Linked DNA regions of Lonchura striata. The protein of the gene in region 1 purifies or fractionates together with the protein of each later gene. This does not show direct contact. Links are inferred from orthologs where the notes say so. Each region holds a gene or a part of one and is shown on either strand. Other genes may lie near its edges.

What was found. The genes of interacting proteins can lie anywhere in the genome.
Region 2: the proteins of TDP1 (region 1) and DNA repair protein XRCC1 purify together in Homo sapiens (affinity purification with mass spectrometry; 4 studies listed by BioGRID and IntAct, with this or other methods). This does not show direct contact. The link is inferred for Lonchura striata from reciprocal best matches to the Homo sapiens genes TDP1 and XRCC1.

The regions. Positions count from the first base shown.
Region 1 is NC_134608.1:17,272,536-17,279,877, reverse strand, and holds the start of TDP1 (tyrosyl-DNA phosphodiesterase 1), read left to right. Parts: upstream 1-4,257; 5' UTR 4,258-4,339; intron 4,340-4,923; 5' UTR 4,924-4,927; coding exon 4,928-5,474; intron 5,475-6,894; coding exon 6,895-6,938; intron 6,939-7,342. Other genes in the region: EFCAB11 (EF-hand calcium-binding domain-containing protein 11), read right to left, coding at 3,004-3,112, 4,041-4,067. UniProt on the Homo sapiens protein: DNA repair enzyme that can remove a variety of covalent adducts from DNA through hydrolysis of a 3'-phosphodiester bond, giving rise to DNA with a free 3' phosphate.
Region 2 is NC_134639.1:76,660-83,954, reverse strand, and holds the start of DNA repair protein XRCC1, read right to left. Parts: upstream 3,035-7,295; coding exon 2,974-3,034; intron 2,915-2,973; coding exon 2,667-2,914; intron 1,495-2,666; coding exon 1,396-1,494; intron 358-1,395; coding exon 193-357; intron 1-192. UniProt on the Homo sapiens protein: Scaffold protein involved in DNA single-strand break repair by mediating the assembly of DNA break repair protein complexes. Negatively regulates ADP-ribosyltransferase activity of PARP1 during base-excision repair in order to prevent excessive PARP1 activity.

The DNA.
Region 1 (7,342 bases):
GGATGTGAGCAGATTCCAGAGCAATCTAGGCTTATTCCACTCTGGAGAAAGGACAAGCCAAACATGATGAGACCACTTAAGCTAAAGCTGTATGTTCCACCATGCCCGAAACACTTCCCCCAGGACCATGTCAGATATATAAACAGACTAGGGAGTTCTGTCTAGAAAGCTTTGATAATATATGCCAGGAGAGCAGCTGAAAGCAGCCTCAAGCTCAGACTGCCCTTCTCTACTCTGGATCTCAGAGTGTCCTGCTGCTGGCATCTTGTTCAGCAGCAGCTGTTGACCTGCTGGTGTCCTCCTGCAAAGGTACAGCTTCGGGTCAAGGAAAACACTGGACACTGGGGGCCTGGACTCTCAGGAACACTGTAGAGAGTGCTTTTAGTTAGATCTAAATGTAACACTACCAGGAAGGGAACTTCAGCTTGGGAAATGATGTATTTTAATGACTACAATTCCTGAAGTCTCCTTTTCATTTGGAAGATGAAATGCTAGCAGCTAGTTAGCTGAATGGTTGCTGAAATATAAGAGCATTTTAGATGACTTTAAATAGTTTTGGGGAAAAGAGGATCATTGAACCAAACTGACAGAGAATGAAAAAAAAGTCACATAGACATGATTCCTACAATGTTGCTATTTCCCAGAAATGACAGTATTTATATGCAGACATACATACAATATCCATTCAACAATGAGTTTAATCTCTGTTTACATTTTTTCCCAGTTATTTGCCTCAGAAGGTTTAATTATAAACACTAAAATTATATAAAGTTCAAATTTCTATTAATAACCACACTAAAATAGTATTTTACTCACAATATAGCATTGTTATAACAAATTATTTAGAAAAATCAAGCGGAGCAGGAATGTGATTTAAATTCTTAGAGCTCACCTTTTCCAAGGAAGAGTTCATTCATGACATCTAGCGGGTAAAGTTAGTATTACTTTTAACTTACAGAATAAAGGCAAACGCGACCAAAAAAAAAAAAAAAAAAAAAAAAAAAAAAAAAAAAAAAAGCAGCAACAATTTACTAAAAATTCGATTGCTTGATTGCAGTTGATGATGCTAAGCAATTGCCATTTCTACTGAAAAAAAAAATGTTAGTATGTAGTGCAGCTGAAAAACAGTTTCACCTTAAGAAATAATGTATGCACACTATTCCCCATGTCCTGCAAAAACAATTGGAAGGACTCTCCTTGCCAGGGATGTTCTTAACCATTTCCAAAATAATAGAAGGGCTGTTCCTTTAGCCTATGATTTTGTTAATTTTGACAACAAAGCAATACGCACAATAACATGCTCAAGAACTGGATCTTAACAATTAACTTTTAGGATTGCAACATCTGCATTTGGTTCCTCTCTGGTACACAGTGAAAGTTGTGTCTCTCAGAACCAGATTAAAAACCATACGCACGTTGAAAGGAACACACTCAGGACCCAGTCATCAGCAAAAGCAAAACATGTGGTTGTGCTACAAACCTTGCCTAATGCACACTAGCAGAAGCCACAAAAAGAAAAGTATCTGCTTCCCCAGGGACCTTTTAGAGATCTTCACAATGAGCAGTAATTGGGTAAAGGGCAACAGTTGCTGGAATTGGGCCCACTTAAGGAGCTAGCAAAACCACTAGATGACAGAATCAGCCCTAGAACAAAGGTTTCTTAATTAATTTTTGTGCAGCTGCACAGACCAAATGGTCACAGTAGTGCCTAAAGCCACAGCAGGTGTGATTTGGCACCTTTTCAGGAAGAAATAACTAAACCTGCATCTCATGTCTTCCCAGGAGTCCTCTATTTGTATTCTCTTTCCAAGGAGATGCCATCAGTGACTCATGCACAGTGCCTGCTCTTGTTTAAATGCCTTAAGCATGTTTTGAGTACTCCTGCTGTAAGAAACACTCAGGGAATTTGACAGAACACTTAATTTTTATATAGTAAAAATATCTAGGAGAAGATAGATAGGGAAGAAGTTGAGCAGTTTGAGATTCATAATTCAATAGTTAGGACTCACATCAGAAGCCTTAAGCATTTTTAGATCTGGCCACAGTTCATTGAAAAAATGTTTACCCACAGCTGAAATATATGAGAAATTACTACTTTCATAGTTTACTAAAATATTTTTGTGGGTTTTACTAAATTATCATAGATACAATTTTGCTTATGACCTTATCAAGACAGTTTTTGTAAACTATGTGCTTAATGTAAAAATAATAAAAGTAATTATTTGCAATCAGTCATTGGGGAAGAAGATTGCTCAAGCTGGAGAAGAAAGATGATTCAGCCTTTCCATACTTTATATATATAATACACATTATAGTAATTGGTCTCATTTATTGACATGCCATGAGAAAGACAGACTCACAGATACACTATGTGTATTCTGAAATCTTTTGTATTCTTTATACTCTTTTTAATTCACTTGTACTTACTTGAGTAAAAATATTACTTCTAAAACTACATCAAGCCATACAATATATCCTGTATTTTCCTGTAAGTATGGAAACACATTATTTCTCTCAATTAATCTTTCTTTTCTTAAGATTTCTATAGAGCTGTAGATTTACATTTGAGAAGTCATGCCTAAAAATGTCCAACTATTAACTATTACCTGAAATCAAAACCAGATATATTTTTGAGAATACGTGTTTATTATTGGGACATGTAGCAGTTTCACAGTTACTGAGACCACTGAATAAAATTGAATGTACCACTGATAAAAACCAGTAACAAGCTCAGTAAGTCACTTATGTATCTTGTACACATATGAAATACAATACAACTTTCTACTGATCACAGTCTTCAACAGAAAAGCCAGGGTTTTGATTATTTTCTTTTGGAATAAATATGTGCAAATTAGAAAATTAATTTTAGGGTTTGTAGGCATTTCTGTTTACCACATCTACAGCAATCCACTCCAGTTAGTGTAGGCCAGTCAATATATAGTATTTTCAACAGTGAGACATCTATAAGCTGGATCTTCAGAACATAAATGGAAAAGTATATACCTTTGAGGGTTTCTAGAAAAAAAAAAAAAACCATTACCAGACCAACTGTAGAGTCTTCTCTGCTTAAATAGCCTTTGCTATCTTCATTGCACACTTCAAAATCCTGCAGAAAGAAAGTGATTCACATAAAAAAACCAATAAACCTAACCTAGGATTTTTTATTTTGCAAAACTGTTATGGGGGAAAAAAAGAGGCACTTGTTGAATCACTTCTATTCATCTACTCTGTTCCAGTAAAATTGAAAGTGGGAGCACATTCAGTTTGGGATTTTAGGTTAAAATAAAATTTTTCATACTATTACATTTTATGTGCTTATGATGAAAAAGCTTTTTGCAAACTTAGACTACATAGTACAGACTTATAGGAAACAAATCACATGAAATTTCCTTCTAGCAGACTATACTTTTTTTTTCCTGAAAAATGCCAGATAACTTTAATTCTCAGTTAAGTCACCACACAGACAGGAACTATAAGGAGAGAGTGCAATGAAAGCATAGTCAGAAGCCATCAAACTTTCTGAGGTACTTGCAGAAAACAAAAAAACATTTCCAAAGAGAAGAGACTACACAGAGAACATACAAAGCCATCCAACGTTCCTAAGAGCTTTTCCCACAGAACACCTTCAGGAAGGGTTAACAATACAGCATCATATCGTACAGCAGCAAAGGGTTTACCCACAGAACATTTCAGGGAAAAGTTACGTACGACTCTGCGGACAAGCACTGAGAAAATTACACAAACCAGCGGAATTGTCAGGAAAGCTTTTCCTGGAGTAACCTGCCGTTTTCATTGCGTGTTGGCACTTCCAGAATTTGTTAACTGCAGCCACAAGCTTGCAACAAATTAGAGTAAGGAGAGCCGAGCGCTCAGTTCACCGCAGCGCGCTTTGATGCGGGCCGCGCTCCTCCTTTGATTAATATCACACCTGCTTTCCTCCCTCTCCTTCCCGAACTCCTCACGCACTTATCTCATTAGCGGGGCACTTCAGATACAGTAATTAACACCGCGCCGAACGAGCCATTATGCAAATTCCGCACCTGCCCATAATTAATATTAAGGTCCATGACGGCTGGTTAGAATAATTCAGCTCGCCAAGCCTCGGCCGCCCTGCCGCGGCGGCCCCGGAGCGCCTCGCGGCGGCCCCGGAGCGCCTCGCGGCGGCCCCGGAGCGCCTCGCGGCGGCCCCGGAGCGCCTCGCGGCGGCCCCGGAGCGCCTCGCGGCGGCCGCGCTCCGGCGGCTCGGGGCGGGGCCGGCGCGGGCGGGCGGGGCCCGGGCCTGCTCTGGCTCTCGCTGCCCTGCGCGGGCGCTGCCGGGCGCCGGCGGTCGGTGAGCGGGGTGAGTGAGTGAGTGAGTGAGTGAGTGCTGGCGGCGGCCGGCGGGCTGCAGCCCCGCAGCGGCTGTCGGGGCTCTTTGCCGCGGCGCCGCCGCGGGCGCTGCCTTCGCTGCGGGGCGGCCGCGGCCGGGCTCCGCCGCCGGGGCTCGGCGGGAGGCGCGGCGGAGGGGCGCGCTGCGGGCGCGGGGCCGGCGGAGGAAGGCCGCGGTCCCGGAGGGTTCCCGCGGGGCCGCCCCGTGCTCCTGAATCCGCTCAGCAGACGCCTCAGCCGCGGGGAAATACCTGTGTCGTGCAGCTCGCACCTCTGATTTTTGGAGTGCTTTCTCATAGGAGTCTGTGTCTTATCCCGCTTTCCATGTGTTGGTTTTCACATTTGCTGCTTCCCATTTGATGGTTGCCACCATTGCACGTGTTTCTTTGTTTCCCGGGCACAGAAACAAGTCGTGTACGGTATGAAGTTTCCCAGAGAACCTGCCAAATACCAAAGCACGGTTCTTAAGTAATAAACAAGTAGGAGGTAGGAAGGGAGACAGACTTGAGCGTAGCAAAAACGTACAATTTTTGTTTGGTGTTTTTTCATTCCTAGGAACATGCTTCAGGAAGGTGCACACGGTAAATGGACAGTATCTAGCAGCGATGAAAGTGCTGATGAAAATTCTGACAGTGAAAAACCATGTACATCTTCACTATCAGATGCTACATGTGGTAAAACAAGTGGACCACAATATCCATGCTCTGAAGCTAGGAAAGCTGCTCTCAAGAGAAAAACTTCTCCCCTGAAGTTCACTGATAAAAGTCTTTCTACAGATGCACCTCCAGCAGTAAAACAGAGACCAAGCCAAGAAGGCTCAGGTTGGTGTCTTTCTAGTAGCGATGAAGAGCCTGAAGATCAGCAAAAGCATGTTCACAAAGAAACAGTGAAAGAAGAAAAATGTGATATGCCTGAAGAGCATCCTCTGAATCTTTGCAAAGATGACAAACTCTCGGAGAATCTGAAAGAAGAGGAGTATAATGTAACACCCAGTGAAGCCCAGGATACCTGGGATTTGGTGACTGGAGGCAATCCTTTCAGGTTTTTTCTCACTAAAGTCAGTGGAATTGAACAGAGCTATAATTCTGGAGCCCTGCACATAAAAGGTGAGCAAGTGTCTTCTACTAGAAGAGGGCTTTTGGGAGAAAGCAAGAGAATGCTTATTTTTGGTTTGTGGGTATTTTTAAATGCATGTATTTCTTAGTGTTGCTGATATTTCATATTCTAAATGGGCTGGTTCATAGAAATTGTTTCTTTTATTTGGGCCTTTCTCTTTCAGAGGTATAAAACATTATTTGCTGATACTTTGTTGTAACTTGAATTAGGCGGCAGAAATATAAAGTGTATTTAGCCAAGACAAATCATGCTGCTTCTTACTGCTGCTTTCTTTATGAGCTAGTCTGGGGAAAACCACTTGTGGCATTTAAAGGGATGCTTTTCTTGGGTGCATAACTCTGAGTAGTTGTTTGCACCTGCCTCTGTGCTGTTGATTGGTTTGGACCTAATAATTCACTATTAATAGGTGAAGTACTTCTGAAGTTCTGTGTCTGGGGTTCATGTATCTGTTTAAATTCAGCTGTGAGAGAGCTGTCCATCAGTCAAGATGGAGTGGAGCCTTTGGTGTGCAATACTGATGCTTTAGGAATGCTCTGTTGTCATTTGATGTTGGGGGAAGAGCTTTGTGCACCTTTAAACATCCCTGTAGTTAGAAATAAAATTTTATACATCACAAGACAGAATCAGAAACAAGTATCAGTAAGAGAATTGTGTACAGAAATACAATAAAATAAAGCAGAAAAAAATAGTAGTTCTTTGAGGGAGAAGAAATTACTTAAGACCTATATATACAATTAGGTTGTAACTTTTCCTCAACCTCATGCCTACTAGCACAAGCAGGCGTGAGGGACTTTAGAGCTTTAGTCCAGGATGTTTTTATATGCTTTGTGAATTTGTGGCTTTTGGACTGTCCTGTCCTGGGAGTCCTGCTAGGTGATTAGTTGAGCTGGTGGACAGGCAATATTCTTTGTTTAACCAGCTAAACCAGCTTCAGTTGTGGTTATAAATCCCCAGTTGGATTAGTTTCCTGTGCTACTGTGATTGAACTATGAATACACATATCCCACAGTCAGTCTGCAGCAGATAAAATAAGCATTGACTTATTGCTTTTAATACTTAAATAAGCATGCCCTTATTGCTGCCACCCTGCCACAGTTCTTCAAGTCCACTCAATAGTGGAGAGAGTAATTTAATGGCCCTTTCTCAAGATGTTGTTGAACTTTTTCCCTATCAGCTTTTAAAACTTGTTTAATACTTTGAGAGGATTATTAATTTTTGTAAGGATATGATCCTAAATGATTCACAGGGGAGTCAGTGACTTGAATACTTAGAACAGTAAACTTGTGAATGCCTCTGTTACACCAGGTCTATGAACAATCTGGCCTTTTTGCTGTGGTATCAAGCTGTTCAAGATGCAAAACATTTACTTGACGTCTTTTTTATTTATTTGTGCTTTAATATTTTTAATAGATATTTTGTCTCCTCTTTTTGGAACTCTCGTATCTTCTGCCCAGGTGAGTTTCCTGTTTGCCAAACTGATTTCACTTGCTTGCTTCACTTCATTAATCTTAAACTTGATAATCCATGCTTGTGCTACATAGCTGCTATTAACAGGGAACCTTGTTAAAATACAGAGGGAATTCTAAATATTTTCAACTGTTGAACAATTTACTGAATATAAACACTGTCCTATGATCTGCTGTAGAATTCAGGGAATTATAAGACTACTTTCTCCAGTTTTTGAGGAAAGTGAAACTGAGAAGCATGTATTTATGCTCATATAAATGAGGATTTTTGAAAGAAAGAACACCTTGCAATTTAGGAATAATATCTTTGTTATTGCCTAGAAGTTTTGCTATCATTGATGATATAAACACATGGCAAAGAGATGATCCTTCAACCTAAGCTTTTACATTAT
Region 2 (7,295 bases), on another chromosome or scaffold:
TGCGCTCTGACCCCTCCAGGTGAGCTCCAGGTGCCCCTTGCCCCGCCCAGGTGCGCTCTGACCCCTCCAGGTGAGCCCCAGGTGCGCCCTGCCCCCCCCAGGTGCGCCCCAGGTGCCCCCTGCCCCTCCAGGTGCCCTCCCAGTCCCCCCAGGTGAGCCCCAGGAGCCCCCTGCCCGCCCAGGTGCGCTCACCTGGCAGTAGGGCTGGCTCAGCACCACCTGCAGCCGGTCCCACCTGGCCGTGGGCGTGGCCGGACGCTTGACCAGCGCCTCGGGCCCGAAGAGCCGCACCCGGCCCGGCCCCGCCCCCGCCCGGCTCTCGCTGGGCGACATCAGCGCCGCGCTGGGCAGCAGCACCTGCGGGCACAGGTAAGGCTCAGGTGTGCCCAGGTACCCCCAGGTGTGCCCAGGTATGGTTTAGGTGTGCCCAGGTACCCCCAGGTGTGCACCCACCTGTGCCCAGGTAAGGTTTAGGTGTGCCCAGGTACCCCCAGGTGTGCCCAGGTGTGTTTTTGGGTGCCCAGGTGTGTTTTTAGCTGTGCCCAGATGTGTGTTTTGGTGTCCCAGGTGTGCCCAGGTGCCCCAGGTGTGTTTTTGGGTGCCCGGGTGTGCCCAGGTGTGTTTTTAGTTGTGCCCAGGTGCCCCAGGTGTGTTTTTGGGTGCCCCAGCTGTGCCCAGGTGTGTTTTTAGCTGTGCCCAGCTGTGTTTTTGGGTGCCCAGATGAGCCCAGGTGCCCCAGGTGTGTGTTTGGGTGTCCCAGGTGTGCCCAGGTGCCCCAGGTGTATTTTTGGGCACCCCAGGTGTGCCCAGGTGTATTTTTGGGTGCCCCCGGTGTGCCCAGCTGTGTGTTTGGGTGTCCCAGGTGTGCCCAGATGTGTTTTTAGCTGTGCCCAGGTGTGTTTTTGGGTGCCCCAGCTGTGCCCAGGTGTGTTTTTAGCTGTGCCCAGGTGTGTGTTTGGGTGCCCAGGTGTGTTTTTAGCTGTGCCCAGGTGTGTGTTTGGGTGCCCAGGTGTGCCCAGGTGCCCCAGGTGTATTTTTGGGCACCCCAGGTGTGCCCAGGTGTGTTTTTGGGTGCCCAGGTGTATTTTTAGCTGTGCCCAGGTGTGTGTTTGGGTGCCCAGGTGTGCCCAGGTGTGTTTTTAGCTGTGCCCAGGTGTGTGTTTGGGTGCCCAGGTGTGTTTTTGGGTGCCCAGGTGTGTTTCTCGCTGCGCCCAGGTGTGTGTTTGGGTGCCCAGGTGTGCCCAGGTGTGTTTTTAGCTGTGCCCAGGTGTGTGTTTGGGTGCCCAGGTGTGCCCAGGTGTGTTTTTGGGTGCCCAGGTGTGCTCAGGTGTGTTTCTCGCTGTGCCCAGGAGTGTGTTTGGGTGCCCAGGTGTGCCCAGGTGCCCACGGGCTCACCTGGAAGTCGCCCCCGGCCGAGGAGCCCAGCAGCACCTCCACGAAGGCGGCGCCGTCGTTGCCGACGTGCAGGGAGTGAATGGGGCGGGTGTCACCCAGCTGGGGGAGCCACCAGTATAAACCAGTATAAACCAGTACAGACCAGGATAAACCAGTACAAACCAGTACAGAGCAGTATGAACCAGTACAGACCAGTACAAACCAGTATAAACCAGTACGGAGCAGTATGAACCAGTGCAGACCATTTCTGCCCCACTCAGGAGGAGCCTCCCAGTTCCCTCCCAGTCCCTCCCAGTTTATCCCAGTCCCTCCCAGTTCCCTCCCAGTCCCCGCCAGTCCCTCCCAGTTCCCTCCCAGTCCCTCCCAGTCCCTCCCAGTTCATCCCAGTCCCTCCCAGTTTGTCCCAGATTATCCCAGTTCAGCCCCACTGCCCTCCCAGTTGGTCCCAGTTTGTCCCAGTCCCCTCCCACTACATCCCAGTAACCCCCAGTCCCCTCCCAGTGCCCCCAAACCCCCTCTCAGTCACCCCCAGTCCCTTCCCAGTCCATCCCAGTTTATCCCAGTCCATCTTAATCCCCTCCCAGTTTATCCCAGTTCCCCTCGATGCCCTCCCAGTCCATCCCAGTCTCTCCCAGTCCATTCCAATCCTCTCCAAGTGTATCCCAGTTACTCCCAGTCTATCCCAGTCCCTCCCAATCCCCCCAAACCCTCTTCCAATTTATCCCAGTCCCCCCCAATCCCCTCCCAGTTTATCCCAGTCCCTCTCAATCCCCTCCCAGTCCACCCCAGTTCATCCCAGTCCCTCCCAATCCCTTCCCAGTCTATCCCAGTCCTTCCTAATCCCTTCCCAGTTCATCCCAATCCCCTCCCAGTTTGTCCCAGTCCATCCCAGTCCCCCTCAATCCCCTCCCAGTCCCCGCCAGTCCCTCCCAGTTTATCCCAGTCCCCTCCCAGTTTATCCCACTCCTCTCCCAGTCCCTTCCCAGTTACTCCCAGTCCCCGCCAGTCCCTCCCAGTTTATCCCAGTCCCTCCCAGTTCATAGTTCATCCCAGTCCCAGTTCATCCCAGTTTCCTCCCAGTTTATCCCACTCCTCTCCCAGTCCCTCCCAGTTCATCCCAGTCCTCTCCCAGTCCCTCCCAGTTCATCCCAGTCCCCTCCCAGTTTATCCCACTCCTCTCCCAGTCCCTCCCAGTTAACCCAGTCCCCTCCCACTTTATCCCACTCCCCTCCCAGTCCCTCCCAGTCCCTCCCAGTTACCCCCAGCCCCACCTCCAGCACCACGCTCAGCTGTTTCTCGCCCGCCGCCGCTCCCCTCCACTTCCCGCCATCCTCGGGCCGCAGCAGATTCTCCGCCGGGTGCCGCTGCGGACGCACCGAACCCTCAGAACCGAGCCCCGGTACCGCCGAGCCCAGCCCGGCTCCTCCCGAACCTCCCCGGGACCCACCGGGTCCGCGCTGGTCACCGACACCACCCGGGCGAACGGGATCTCCGCCATGAGGGCCGCGCCGGAAGTCCCCTCAGAGCGGCACCGGAAGCCGCCTCAGCGCCGCACCGGAAGTCGCCTCAGCGCCGCACCGGAAGTCGCCTCAGCGCGCCCTCCCGGGCCGCTCTGCTCCGCGCGACTCTGGGGCTCCATAGCGCGCGCCCATTGGCTGCGCGCATGCGCGGGGCGCGCTCTACCCGCGCGTCCTCCCAGCGGAGTTTTTCCCGCCTTTTTCCAAGCGCGGGAAGCCGTGAGGGGAAAGGAAATAATTAAACCTCCGCCAGGGTAATTAAGCTTCATTAATCCTTAGGGAAAGGCAATTAATCACGACTTGGCGCTAATTAAGACAAAGAAAAGGCGCTTTGGGCTGTTTATTAGCGCGGGGGGAGCCGCCTCAGAGCCGTGAGGGGAAAGGAGATAAGGAAACCTCGGCGAGGGTAATTAGGCGTCATTAATTAACGAGGGGGGTCGTTAATGAAGAGCAGCACGAGGCTCCCAGTGCTCCCAGTTTATCCCAGTAAGCGGCCGTACTCAGCCAGGGCTGAGGATTTCTTCACCCCGTCCCAAATGCGGGCGGCGTAGTGGAACCTGCACCAGTATGGACCAGTATAAACCAGTATATACCAGTATAAACCAGTACGGACCAGTATAAACCAGTACGGACTGGTACAGGTAATGAGCACCCTCCCAGTTCCCCCCAGTTCGCTCCCAGTCCCCTCCCAGTTTATTCCAATCCCCTCCCAGTATAAACCAGTAACCCCGAATCCCCTCCCAGTATAAACCAGTCCCCCCAAATCCCCTCCCAGTATAAACCAGTAACCCCAAATCCCCTCCCAGTATAAACCAGTAACCCCGAATCCCCCTTTAACCCTTTCCCAATCCCCTCCCAGTTCCCCCCAGTCCCCTCCCAGTATAAACCAGTCCCTCCCAATCCCTTCCCAGTTGCTCACAGTCCCCTCCCAGTCCCTCCCAGTATAAACCAGTAACCCGAAATCTCCATTTAACCCTCTCCCAGTTCCTCCCAGTCACCCCCAAACTCCTCCCAGTCCCTCCCAGTATAAACCAGTAACCCCAAAACCCCATTTAACCCTTTCCCAGTCCCTCCCAGTATAAACCAGTACCCCCAAACCCCCTTTAACCCTTTCCCAACCCCTCCCAGTCCCCTCCCAGTATAAACCAGTTACCCCAAATCCCCTTTTAACCCTTTCCCAACCCCTCCCAGTATAAACCAGTGCCCCAAACCCCCTTTAACCCTTTCCCAGCCCCTCCCAGTCCCCCCCGAAGCCCTCCCAGTATAAACCAGTCTCACCAGTTGCGCTCGGTCAGCAGGCTGTGGGATAACTGGGAGCGCGCGGCCGCCAGGACCCTCCCCCGCAGCCGGGCCAGGAGCCCCCCCAGCCCCCCCCGGCCGCGGAACGGGGGCAGGGCCGGGAACAGCGCCCCTCCCCCACCTGCGGGGTTCGTACTGGTTTGTACTGGGATAAACTGGGAGGGACGGGTTTATACTGGGTTTGGACTGGGAGGGGGTTTGGGGAGCACGGGGAGGGACTGGGACGTACTGGGATGGACTGGAATGGACTGGGAGGGGGTTTGAGGGGGCTGGGGTGGGTTTGGAGGGGATTGGGGTAGACTGGGATGGACTGGGATATACTGGTTTATACTGGTTTGGACTGGTTTGGACTGGTTTATACTGGTTTGAACTGGTTTATACTGGTTTGGACTGGGACGGGGTTTGGGGAGCACCGGGATGGACTGGGCCATACTGGGATGGACTGGGAGTGGGTTTGGGGGGGGTCTGGGGTGGGTTCAGAGGGGACTGGGATATACTGGGCCATACTGGGATGTACTGGGATGGACTGGGAGGAGGTTTGGGGGGTCTGGGGTGGGTTCAGAGGGGACTGGGGTGTACTGGGATGTACTGGGCCATACTGGGATGTACTGGGATGTACTGGGATGGACTAGGAGGGGGTTTGGGGGGGATTAGGCTGTACTGGGATATAGTGGGCCATACTGGGATGGACTGGGATGTACTGGGAGTGGGTTTGGGGGGTCTGGGATGGGTTCAGAGGGGACTGGGCCATACTGGGATGTACTGGGCCATACTGGGATGGACTGGGATGGACTGGGAGGAGGTTTGGGGGGTCTGGGATGGGTTTAGACCGGACTGGGCTGTACTGGGATGGACTGGGAGGAGGTTTGAGGGGTCTGGGGTGGGTTCAGAGGGGACTGGGCTGTACTGGGTTGTACTGGGGTGTACTGGGCCATACTGGGATGGACTGGGATGGACTGGGAGGAGGTTTGGGGGATCTGGGGTGGGTTCAGAGGGGACTGGGCCATACTGGGATGTACTGGGATGGACTGGGATGGACTGGGAGGGGGTTTGGGGGGAATTAGGCTGTACTGGGATATACTGGGCCATACTGGGATGGACTGGGAGGAGGTTTGGGGGGGTCTGGAGTGGGTTCAGAGGGGACTGGGATGTACTGGGCTGTACTGGGAGGGGGTTTGGGGGGGATTAGGGTGTACTGGGATATACTGGGCCATACTGGGATGGACTGGGATGTACTGGGATGTACTGGGCTGTACTGGGATGGACTGGGAGGAGGTTTGGGGGGTCTGGGGTGGGTTCGGAGGGGACTGGGCCATACTGGGCTGTACTGGGCCATACTGGGATGTACTGGGCCATACTGGGATGTACTGGGCTGTACTGGGATGTACTGGGAGGAGGTTTGGGGGGTCTGGGATGGGTTCAGAGGGAACTGGGGTGTACTGCGTTGTACTGGGCCATACTGGGATGTACTGGGAAGGGGCCCAGGGTGCCCAGGGGCTGTCTCTGGGGACCCGCACTGGTCCGTACTGGTCCGTACTGGTCCGTACTGGTCCGCACTGGTCTCACCTCGGGGCAGGGCGTCCTCGGGCTCCTCCTCCAGGGGCGGCAGCAGGAACAGATTCACCTCGGGCTCGGGGGGGGGCCCGGGGGGGAGGGGAGGAGCTCCCGCATGGACAGCGAGCCTGGGGGGCCAAAATCACCCCAAAATTATCCCGAAATTATCCCGAAATTATCCTGAAATCATCCTGAAATTATCCCGAAATCATCCTGAAATTATCCCGAAATTATCCTGAAATCATCCTGAAATTATCCCGAAATTATCCCGAAATTATCCCGAAATTATCCCAAAATCATCCTGAAATTATCCCAAAATCACCCCAAAATTATCCCAAAATTATCCTGAAATTATCCCGAAATTATCCTGAAATTATCCTGAAATTATCCCAAAATCATCCTGAAATTACCCCGAAATCATCCTGAAATTATCCTGAAATTATCCTGAAATTATCCCGAAATTATCCCAAAATCATCCTGAAATTATCCTGAAATTATCCCAAAATCATCCTGAAATTATCCTGAAATTATCCCAAAATCATCCTGAAATTATCCTGAAATTATCCCGAAATTATCCCAAAATCATCCTGAATTTATCCTGAAATTATCCCGAAATTATCCCAAAATCACCCCAAAATTACCCCAAAATCATCCTGAAATTATCCCGAAATTATCCTGAAATTATCCCAAAATCATCCTGAAATTATCCCAAAATTATCCCGAAATCATCCTGAAATTACCCCGAAATCATCCCGAAATTATCCCAAAATCACCCCAAATCACCTCAAAAATCGCCCCCAAAATCACCCTAAAAATCGCCCAAAATCACCCCCAAAATCATCCTGAAATAATCCCAAAATCATCCTGAAATTATCCCAAAATCATTCCGAAATTATCCCAAAATCACCCCCAAAATTACCCCAAAATCACCACCAAAATCAGCAAAAATCTCCCCAAAATCCCCCCAAATCCACCCCAATCCCCCAAAATCCCCCCAAAATCCCCCCAAATCCCCCCAAATTTCCCCAAATCCCCCCAAAATCCCCCCAAAATCCCGCAAATCCCCCCCAAAATCCCCCCAAAATCCCCCAAAATCCCCGAAAATCCCCAAATTTCCCCAAATCCCCCAAAATCCCCCCAAATCCCCCAAAATCCCCCCCAAATCCCCCCAAATTTCCCCAAATTTCCCCAAAATCCCCCAAAATCCCCCAAATCCCCCCCAAATTTTCCAAAATCCCCCCAAATCCCCCCCAAATCCCCCCAAATCCCCCCAAATCCCCCCAAATCCCCTCAAATCCCCCCAAAATCCCCGAAAACCCCCAAATCCCCCCAAAATCCCCCAAATTTCCCCAAATCCCCCAAAATCCCCCAAATCCCCCCCGAAATCCCCCAAATTTCCCCCAAATCCCCCCAAATCCCCCAAATCCCCCCAAATTTCCCCAAATTTCCCCCAAATCCCCCCAAATCCCCCCCAAAATCCCCCCAAATCCCCCAAATTTCCCCAAAATCCCCCCAAAATCCCCCAAATCC